Canis lupus familiaris: one gene and its partners. The protein of the gene in region 2 binds, or shares a complex with, the protein of the main gene of each other region. Links are inferred from orthologs where the notes say so. Each region holds a gene or a part of one and is shown on either strand. Other genes may lie near its edges. The genes, in order: SNRPD2, SNRNP40 and CRIPT.

Region 1 (3,112 bases), on a different chromosome or scaffold from region 2:
GTTAGCATTTGGGAAGTGGTATGGCGAAGTGTAAGTCTAGAATGTTTTTGCCACGAGCTGTTACATGACCATGAATAAGTCTTTTCACTTGGAGCCTCGGTTTCTTCTCAAGGAGAATAAGAGTGAGAACAGGAAGTATTGGGCCCAAAAAGGCAGATAGACCTAGATTTGAACAGGGCTGTGCCACTTCTAAAACATCATCCCACTGCGCCAGTGTCCTGCTCTGCAAGCTGGGGGTGATACTAGTGTTTACCTTCTGGGGGTGAGATGTAGTGAGAATTACTGGCTTACTGCTTCGAAGAGGGCACCTGGGTGCTTAGTAAGAGCACAATCGGTGGTGGTTTATTCATATACATTTGTGTGTCCACATCTTTTTAAAGATTTACTTCATTTATTTTGGGGGGAAGGGGCAGAGAGGAAGAGTTCCAAGCAGACTATGCTGAACAAGGAGCCTGATGTGGGGCTCACTCTCATGACCTGAGATCATGACCCAAGCCAAAACCAAGAGTCAGACATTCAACCAACTGTACCACCCAGGTGCCCCCCCCCCCATTTTTTTAAGAGGACTTTCCCCCAGTTCTTCCTCATATCCCCACATCAGCTTCCCACCCTAGTGTGTATCCTGCCACAGTTCACTCACTCACGCTCAGCACACACACACACACACACACACACGGGCTTCTTTGTGGTGTTAAATAACAGCTTTATTTTTTATTTTTTTAAAGATTTTGTTTATTCATGAGAGACAGAGAAATAGAGACATAGGTAGAAGGAGAACCACACTCCTCATGGGGAGCCCCATGCAGGACTTGATCCCAGCACCCCAGGATAACGACCCAAGCCAAAGGCAGATGCTCAACTACTGAGCCACCCGGGTCCCCAGCTAACAGCTTTATGGAGGTGGAATTGACATGTTGTCATATCATAAATGTAATTGTTTTTAAGATAGAATCTTCCATGTGCTACTCTGCATCTTGTTTTTCGTACTTTTCAGTGATCTGTGAACATCCCTGCAGGTCAGCTAAGGCATTCTTAACCCTGTTACTTATTGTATTAATTATGTTCCTTTCTTGAGTGAGCAGTGCATGCAGTTGAGGCAAAATTCAAAAGAAACGAACGTGCTCAATGAGGAACAAGTCTTTTTTCTCCCTGTCAGTCAGTTGCCCTCCCCAGGAATCCTTCCACGGTAAATTCCTCAGGTCCCCTCACATGACATCAGACCAACAGACACAAGAGTGTGCTTTACTTTATTTTAAATCACTGCTAATAGCAAACCACACAGTTTTAGACCTCAGCTTTTTCACTTGACAACATGCCTTGAAATGTTTCCATGTGGGTATGCTACTTCATTTTTTTTTTAAGCTTATTTTTCTCTGAATTGCTAATGTATTCACAGGATTCCAAAAACAGTAATAGCAGTCCAATGATAACATTCCATGCAGCTTGTCCCCGGCCTCCAAGTGTCTTCCAGGATTCTGTACTGTACAAAGCAAAAGGAGGCAGGCAGTATAGATGCTTCTCCTACCCCCTTTCTTCCCTTCAAAAGATCACTTGCATACTTGGTTTTGTCACTCAACAGTCTCTCGTGGATATTACTCCACAGCAAGGCACAGAGCTTCCCCACTCTTAAATACTTTATTTTTCTTGCCACTCAGTAACATTTCCTTCTATCTTTCTATCCCTTCACCTGGCTTTAATTTTTCTTCATAGCAGGGGTTGTAACCTGACAGTGTATCAGATCCATCTGTTTACTTGCTTAGCATTCTTCTCTCCTCACATCCCATCAGGGCAGGGGTTGCATCTGTCAGCTTCACTGCTGTATTCATTGCAGGTGCTTGCTGAGTGGGCTAATCTGTACTGTCCTCAAACGTGTCCACCTGGCACCCTGAGGAGATAGGGACCAAGCACAACTGCGGCGGAGGCATCACATTCCTCCATAGGCCCCAGGGACCTCTGGCTCCACAAATAGCAGCAGTTCCTTTGCTGATGCTTTCAGAAGTACTTAGAGTTGAGAAACACAAGCAGACCCATTTTGCTTACCTTTCCCCTGGGTCAGGCCCCCTTCTAAGTCTTTGCAAGAATGCTGTATTGGTTAATTTATCTTCACAGCAGCCCTATGAGGGAGGCACTGTGAATGACTCCATGTCAGAAAGCAGGACATTGAGGCACAGAGGAGTGAAGTCCTTTGGCCAAGCCTCAACCTGAAGACTGGCAGAGGTGGTGTGGGGGGTCCCTGGCTGTCCTTGTCCCAGGCCCTCACCTTCATCCCATGTGAGCTGCTGGAAGAGGGGTGGGCAGAAGGCTTCTCCCTCACTCCTGGTGCCTGCCCTCTACCCCCAGGCACTGCAACATGGTGCTGGAGAATGTGAAGGAGATGTGGACCGAGGTCCCCAAGAGCGGCAAGGGCAAGAAGAAGTCCAAGCCAGTCAACAAGGACCGCTACATCTCCAAGATGTTCCTGCGTGGGGACTCCGTCATCGTGGTCCTGCGGAACCCACTCATCGCTGGCAAGTAGCGGCCTCCTCCCCGCCGTCAGAATTTGCTCCCTCCTGCGAAGACCTGCCCTTTGTAATGGGAATAATAAAGTCCTGGGTTTTGTCTAGTGGCATCTGTCTGTTCCCAGAGCCTTGTGACAGGGACAGGCTTGGGGAAGGGAGGCAGCTGGGTGTGGCGCCAGGTGCTAGGGTGCAGACTTCTCTGATCCCGTGAAGAGGCCCTGTCTCTGCCCCTCCTCAGGCCTCTTTTTCCCCATCTGTGAAGTGAATGGGTTGGATACAGAGGGCTCTCTTTCCCTTCTTAATCTTTTCTAGCTTCTCATCGCTGCGTCTCTCTTCCCTTCCTCTGCCTCTCTCTCAATAAGTTGAGGTCTGGCTGCAGTGCTGGGGACACAGCAGTACCCAGGAGAGCCCTGACCAGCCCTCACTGAGAGGAGAAGGAGGATATAGTTAGAGTAGTCAGTACCCAAACAGTGGTAGTGATTGCCACTAACACCTGCCAGCTGTTAGGGTGCCAGGCCCTTTCCTCTGTGCTGAGCAGACACTGTTCATTATGACCTCCATTGCCAGAGGAGGGAACTGAGGTACAGAAAGGAGAGAGCATTCCCCCGAGGGGA
Region 2 (3,753 bases):
CTTGCAGCAGTACACTTCCCCTTCATGTCCTGAGAGAAGCATGATTGGCGCTTGAAGGGAGGAACACCTTGGAGGTCCCTAAACAAAAGACAGAAGTACAGGGTAGTTACTACATACAGGCAAAGGAGACTACAAAAGACACGGTAAACAATCATTGAGTAGATTTCTCCTGATTTAGAGAATGGTAACTCTTCTCACATTAACTTAGGCCTCCAATTTGATACCCTCCTACTCAAGTGTCCAGTGTCTACCAGTTATACTGACTACTCCCTCAGGCTCCTTCTGTCCCATAGCCAACTTTAAATTGCTCAAATATGCTAAGCTCATTTCTGTCTCAGGATCTTTACACTTCTTGCTCCTGATCGGAATCCTCTTCCCTTGATCGTCCTGTGTTTAGCTCTTTCCAAATGTTTCCTCTTCAGAAAGTCTTTCATTGATCACTCAAACTCAAAGCAGCATCACACCTCCCCTCTGTATTCCATTAATCCTACTGTATTTCCTCACAGCACTTAAGACTACCTGAAATCACCTTCCTTTGTATTGGTTTACACATTTTGTCCTCTTCCCCGGTAGAAAAGCAGCTTTGTGACTGCAGGGACCCTGCATTCAACACTTTTCCCAGTCTCTAGCACATTTAATTAATGCCTGAACTGAGCTTCCCAACAACCCTGCAAGGTACATATTACCCAGGAAAGTAGTTTTGACTATGGTCTTGACACTAAACCTAGGCTTGGACAATTCACTGGAACCTGGGCTGACATTCCGGTCAGAGAGAAGACCTGGTACACTATTGATAATCCCCAAACATCCTTAATAGCTTTCAGTTTACTCATTTATTTAAAAAAAAAAAAAAATTAACGTGCCAGGCACTGTTTTAGGCGTTGGGAAAACAGTACTGAACAAAATAAACAATGGAGTTTGTGTTCCCGTGGAAAGGAGGAAGAGAAGAGACGAAGAGAGAAAACAAAACATATAGCAGGTTGGTATGTGCTACGGAAGAAAAAAAGCGATGTGGATTAATACATATGGGGTATTGCAATTTAAAACAGGGTAGTCAGGAAGGCCCTTACTGAAAAAGTGATATCTGAACAAAGATTTGGAGGATCTGAGTGTGTAAACCACGTGGATATTTTGAAGAGCATTCCAGTTGAGTGCAGCAAATGCAAAGGCTTTGAGGCAAGAGCATGGAAGCCAGTGTGACTGGAGCAGGGGGAGTAATGGAAAATTGGTAGATCTGAGAGGTAAAGGGAAAATGGGCAAAAGATTTTAAGGATTGTAAGGATTTAACCCTGGGTGAAATGGAAAGCCATCAAAAGTTTTCAGCAGAGGGTAACACGAGCTGACCTTTAGCAGGATTCTCTAGCCACTGGACTGAGAATAGATGGACCATAAAAGAATAGAAACAGGAAATACCAGTTAGGACCTCACTACAATAATGCCAGATGAGAAAAATAACGGCTTAGACCAGGGGCGAGTGATGGAGGTGGCACAAGGATTAGCAATTTGGCATCTATTTTGAGGACGGTGTGCCAGCAGGATTTGCTCACCGGCTGGTGGAGAGGTTGAGAGTGGAGACGTTTACTTCTTGATCGGAGCCTACCAGCCCAGCAGAGGGGTGATCGTTATTACCTCCATCTTACAAGAAATGCAGTTAAGAGCATGGATTCGGCTTTAAAACCGTTTCCTATCACTTACCGGGTTAAGAGCTTACAAAACAGGGCACTGAGAGTTCCTAACTCTTAAGCTGTTACCAAGATTAATGGGGTTTTCATACACAAAGCCCTTAGGACAGGTATTAAATGAAGGTCAGCTCTCGTTCCGTTGTTGTTAGTAACAGTACTAGTGCTGAGACATGGGGGGGGGGGGGGGGGGGGCGGGCATCTTGACCAAAGCAAGCCGGGCTCATTCGTTTCCTTTCTCTCCTCATTCATTCATTCATTCATTCATTCATTTTTTTCAGCCGTTCTACAAAGTTTTCTGAATGTTTACTCCACGCTGGGTCCCTGTGGAAGATTTAATACGAAAAAGCCCCGGTGCGGGTTTTGACTTCAAGGTCCTTAACGCTAAATGTAACGCCACCTCCCAGGGTGGTCGAGACGCTGAAAGCGGGCGTCCAACCAGGTAACGAGCGGAGCGTCCCGGGGGGGCAGGGGGGGTGTCGACCGCTTTTACAGTGTTTCCTGTGTGAACTGCAGGCAGCTATTCCCGTTCCTACCCCGCACTGCGGGATCACCGGGGGCGGGCTCCCTGAGGGGAAGATGAGCTGAGGCCCGAGGGCCGCCCGCGACTCCACTTACCGCTTGTAGCAAAGCTCCCGGCGCCGTCTGCTGCTGCCCAGCTCCGGGGCCCGACCCCGCCGCTCCCAACAGCAGCTCATGCCGCTGCCGCTTGACTGGGACCAGTGGCAACTCCGGGCCTTTGCGCTTTTGCTGTTCTATCATGGCGGCAACCGCTCTCCTCAGCGCCGCCACTGACCGCGCCGACACCCTCAGGCAGCGCGCGATTGGTTCCGACTTAGTTCTTCCCCCAGAACTTCCGGCTTGGAGTAACCAATCGGTCTGCAGCAATCCCCTCTGCACCGCCTCCCTGAATACTCTTCTTTTATTGGTCAGTTCTTTCTGGCGTCACGGGAGTGCGGTGCTGGGATTGGTGGGTGGAGCTGGAGTCCCACCTAGGCGCGCTGGGTCTTGTGGGTGGAAGCGTTGTCTGGTTTTGGCGTTTCGCGCAATGCTGCGGCCGGGAGACCGGGAGCTGACCCAGAGTAAGTGGAAGGAAGGTCGAGGGTGGGTGGCTGCGGCATCTAGAGACGGCGCCTCGGTTGTGTGACGTGAGCCTGGCTCTTCTCAGCTGAAGGTTTGCAGGGGCCTGAGGCGGGCCCCGGGGTCCCAGCGTCGGCGCGTAGCAGCCTGGGTTCCCCTTCTAGGCTGGAGCAGGGCTTTGGGGTCTCTGCGGCCGCCCGGGGCCCTCGTCCGCCGACTCGTTCGTCCAGCGCCTGCCGTGTCCAGCCCTGTGCCTGTGCCGAACGCCCCCAGGGAGGAAGGGCCTGTCTCCCAGCTCCACCAGGCTCCTCTCTCTGACTGAGGAGGCCGGCTTGTTTCTGCCACTGGTCATGCAGCCTTTTACGAGGGCCTGCTCAGTGCCTCTGGGAGAGACAGGGATGAGAGGAGTATCCGACTGCTGCTTCTCCAGAGCACAGTCCTGTGGAGAAATTCGGAATCATATCTGGGAACTAGGTCTCCTTAATTGTCCAACTGGTGTTTATTGGAAAGAGCCCTGAGAGGATACATTGTGAACCAAAGATGGTCCCACGTCGGGCCCCCTCCATGGAGCCTGCTTCTTCCTCTGCTTGTGTCTCTGCACCCCCCCCCCCGTCTCTCATGAATAAATAAATTAAAAACAAACAAACAATTCAAATATTTGAATATTGAGGGCAAGCATGTTAAACAGTGATCTCACTAAGAGCTTTAAAATACGTGCTGCCTAGGAGAGGTGCCTGATGTTATGAGTGTCTGCAATAAGCAGAAAAGCCTCTGTGAGGAAAAGATGCCCGAACTGATACCTGAAGGAAGAATTGTAATTATTTGGGTCAAGGGAGAAAGGCAGAGCGTTCCATATAGAACAACATGTGCAGGGGCCCTGCGGCAAATGGGAGGAAAATGACTGAACGGCAGAAAGAGGCCACTATGGCTACTTCAGAGGGAATGAAGGAGGGTCTGGTACAGGATGCAGCTGGAGGTGGGTAGAGGTGCAGGA
Region 3 (3,653 bases), on a different chromosome or scaffold from region 2:
AAGTGTACAATTCCTATTCTCCAAGATCTTTAATACTATTCATTGGTCTTTTTTACTTCTCTTTAGTCAGCCCTCTTGCCCTTTGTCACTAGTGACTATTCCAAACTCTCTAATCCCTTAAATTTCCCCCACCTTCATCTACCTCATCCTCTGTTGACAAATACCTCCTTATAGGTATAAGACAAGCAAGGTAATTAAATGGGAACATTATCAACTTCTTTTACGATACCTGTAAACAGATCCACATCCATACTCATTTACCTCTTTCCCTTTTTCCAAGAAAAATTCTACTCGTGTCCTTGTTGCCATCCTTCCGTACCTCTTTATTTGTCACTATATCCTTTGGAATCTTTAATCAGCTCCCCTTCCATATAAAAATGCTCAATTAAACCTTGACTCCATCTTTCATTCTTGCATTTTTGTCACCTTTTCTTTTCATTCATGCAACAAGTATTACATTCTGACCAAATGCTAAACAGTAGGACCAAAGGGTAGAGACTGTGTCTTACCATCCCTTCATCATTATGCCAGGGCATGGTTTAGAGTAATCACAACAGACATTTGAATTGAACCTAAATATAAGTGCACTCTATCATTTCCTGAATTTAAAGCCTTTAATAAATACTCAATGTGCAGAGAATAATTTGGGGTTTTATATTTGGAGCCCGGATTCAGGATGACCCTCCACAATGAAGGCTCAGCTTATCTTTCCAACTTTGTTTTCATGTACTCTTACCTTCACTCTGGCCAAACCAAGCTACTTTGCAAGACCACATGTACCCTTAGCTTTCTGTGCCTTCATTCAAGATACAGCCTTTCTCTAGTTTGCCTTTATCCTCTCTCCTCTGTCTTCACAATCCCATTGCCACATCCAGACCCTCTTCCTGTCTCCTCCAAAGGCTTTCCTGGATTTCCCTAGCTCAGGTTATTTCTTCCCCTATGGTATTTCTCCTAGTACTTTAGCCATCCATTACTATGCTTTTTATTTTCTAGGTTATATTTTGGTTTGAATGGTTCTTTTTCAGAGGTCTCTGACCTCTCTAAAAATCTGATGAAAGCTATGGACTCTTTTTTTTTTTTTTTAATTTATTTGTGCACTTGAGGGAGCACAAGCAGGGGGAGGGGCAGAGGGAGAGGGAGGAGCAGACTCCACGCTGAGCAGGGAGCCCCATGTGGGGTTCGATCCTAGGACCCTGAGATCATGACCAGAACTGAAGGCAGACACTTAGACACTTAACTGACTGAGCTACCCAGGTGCCCTGAAAGCTATGGACTCTTACAAGAAGAAAAATGAATATACAGTAGTTTGGTATACAGCTTCATCCTGTCCACTTGTCTTCTGAGGTCTAGCCATGGAACCCAGACTAAGGACTTCTATTAGAGAAAATAGTATGTTGTATATTCCTTGAAACCTAGAGCTTTATCTTATTTATCATTTTATTTTTCTCTGAACTCTCTATAGTGGTTTATATATCATAAGTGCGTAGTAAATATTTATGGAATAAATATGTGTACCAGATTTGTTTAGATTTTTCAGATTTATTTAAAGCATACATATACAAGGAAAGCCTGCCATTAGCCACCGTACTGTACAGATTTTACTGGGTCAGGTACCCATTGCCCACAGTTAGTATCTTCAGTCTCAGTTCACAGCCCGTACCCCAGCATGAAAAGGCTCCTACTGCAAGACGGTGGTTGATACACTGAACTTTAGGCACAATGTAGTGTATTTATTAAATAGTAAATCCAAATTCCCCTTACTTTTACTATCTTGTTATAACAGGTGAAAAGAAACTTGGTACTGTTATCACTCCAGACACATGGAAAGACGGTGCAAGGAATACCACAGGTATTTTTCCATTTGGGAAAGAGGAAGTTGAATCCGGTACTTCCTGTGACTAATGTTTTAGCTTTTACATTATTTGTAAAAAGAACTCTTTTATGTGCAAAGTATTCCATCTCTCTTTTTTTTTTTTTAAGATTTTATTTATTAGAGAGAATGTGTATGCAAGCAAGATATGGGGGGAGGGGCAGAGGGAGAGGAAGAAGCAGACTCTCCACTGAGCAGGGAGCTCAATCCCAGACCCTTGATATCATGACCTGAGCTAAAGGCAGCTGCTTAACCAACTGAGCCATCCAGGTGCCCCTCATCTCCTAAATATTAAAGAATTCCAGATCCCCTAACAATTTAATCTTTTTTTATTTGTTAGGCAAGAGATAGCAAAATCATGAAATGATTTTCAACCAATGAGTAGATCATAGTAACTGATTTGATTCCACTTTATTAAAGTGTGTATTCCTCCCTCTTCACCTGACTTTTATAAAAATTCATGAACAAATCATTCACACATTTACATTTTCACCATCATATCATTATACATAGTTGAGATATTTCTAAAGGGAAGAAAAAGAAACGCTTGTACTGTATTCAGGGTCTTGGCACCACAGTAGTGACTTCAAGATTTTACACTAGATAAATTAAATGTAGACCCATCCCTAAAGTCCTCTTGAGTCTGAAAAATAAAATGATTATCCACAGTTTTACTGTTTCATAATAAATGTTTCCTTTTGAAGTAATGTCTTAAAAACCTGGCTATTAACTAAGGATTTTTGAAAATTTTTATATAGGCTATTCAAGTGGTAGGAGGTCAAAGAATGAACTCTTTAACTAATTGTTAAATGTTAAATGTATATGTTATAGTGAAATGTGCAGAAATAACCTACTAAAATACATGTATACCTTGATTTAGAAAGTGGTGGAAGAAAGTTGAATGAAAATAAAGCTTTGACTTCAAAAAAAGCAAGGTAAGTATAGAAGCAGCCACTCTACCCACAGGCATCTGACTTTCCACTCTTTTTGGTCTTAAGCATACCAGAATGAATTGGGTATGCATCATTTTGTTGTGATAAAACTGGTCAATAGTTCCTAGCATGCAAAGCCAAGCTATCTGTTATAACCTGCTGGCTTCACCCTGCTTCTCCTCAGTATATCAACATATGAAGATATTAGAGCTATATTTTTTCATATATATAATTTCAGCAGAAAACATGACTTTTATCTTGTTCCTTTTTTTTTCTTTTGCAAACTGGTTTCTTGCCTTATCCCTAAAATCACTTTGTAGTTTCATTCAGGTGCTTCAGTGTGGTATGTTTTATAGGACTAATTTTAGAATAATATTGCTTGGTTTGGTTTTATTTTAGGTTATTTTATCTAGTTCTTAAATAACATACAAATCGGAGGCAATAGATGTGGTCAGATCAGAAGCTCTGAAGTCAGCCTTAAATTTGAGTTTAGACCGTCCCTGTCTAGCTCTGGGACCTTAAGGAAGGAAGTGAAGCCAGTTTCTTGACTTTTTTGAACTTTACTTTTTCATCTAAGAATGGAGATAAAAGTGTCTCCCACCCTAAAAACCACTTTTGAACTCTATGCTTTATTATTTCCAGTCTTAAAAAAATCCATGAACCCTTCCAGTGCCACCCCATTTCCTTGCTTCCCTTCACAGCAGAAGTTTTCAGAAGCCTTATCCAGATGCTTTCTCAGTGACTGTAAAGTTCTATTCTTGACTTCAGCCACTCCAGTCAGGGCTTCAGCCCCACCAACCCATGCCGCTGTGCTTGGCAGGATCACACCTAATGGACTTCTCTATTCTCAT

What was found.
Region 1: SNRNP40 (region 2) and SNRPD2 share a complex: the UniProt entries of both Homo sapiens proteins name them as parts of the U4/U6-U5 tri-snRNP complex. The link is inferred for Canis lupus familiaris from reciprocal best matches to the Homo sapiens genes SNRNP40 and SNRPD2.
Region 3: SNRNP40 (region 2) and CRIPT share a complex: the UniProt entries of both Homo sapiens proteins name them as parts of the minor spliceosome. The link is inferred for Canis lupus familiaris from reciprocal best matches to the Homo sapiens genes SNRNP40 and CRIPT.

Annotation. Positions count from the first base shown.
Region 1 is NC_049222.1:110,606,429-110,609,540, forward strand, and holds the end of SNRPD2 (small nuclear ribonucleoprotein Sm D2), read left to right. Parts: intron 1-2,340; coding exon 2,341-2,515; 3' UTR 2,516-2,606; downstream 2,607-3,112. UniProt on the Homo sapiens protein: Plays a role in pre-mRNA splicing as a core component of the spliceosomal U1, U2, U4 and U5 small nuclear ribonucleoproteins (snRNPs), the building blocks of the spliceosome.
Region 2 is NC_049223.1:69,116,324-69,120,076, reverse strand, and holds the start of SNRNP40 (U5 small nuclear ribonucleoprotein 40 kDa protein), read right to left. Parts: upstream 2,497-3,753; 5' UTR 2,442-2,496; coding exon 2,298-2,441; intron 2,122-2,297; exon of another isoform or gene 1,983-2,121; intron 79-1,982; coding exon 1-78. UniProt on the Homo sapiens protein: Required for pre-mRNA splicing as component of the activated spliceosome. Component of the U5 small nuclear ribonucleoprotein (snRNP) complex and the U4/U6-U5 tri-snRNP complex, building blocks of the spliceosome.
Region 3 is NC_049231.1:49,895,393-49,899,045, forward strand, and holds part of CRIPT (cysteine-rich PDZ-binding protein), read left to right. Parts: intron 1-1,783; coding exon 1,784-1,849; intron 1,850-2,750; coding exon 2,751-2,805; intron 2,806-3,653. UniProt on the Homo sapiens protein: As a component of the minor spliceosome, involved in the splicing of U12-type introns in pre-mRNAs. Involved in the cytoskeletal anchoring of DLG4 in excitatory synapses.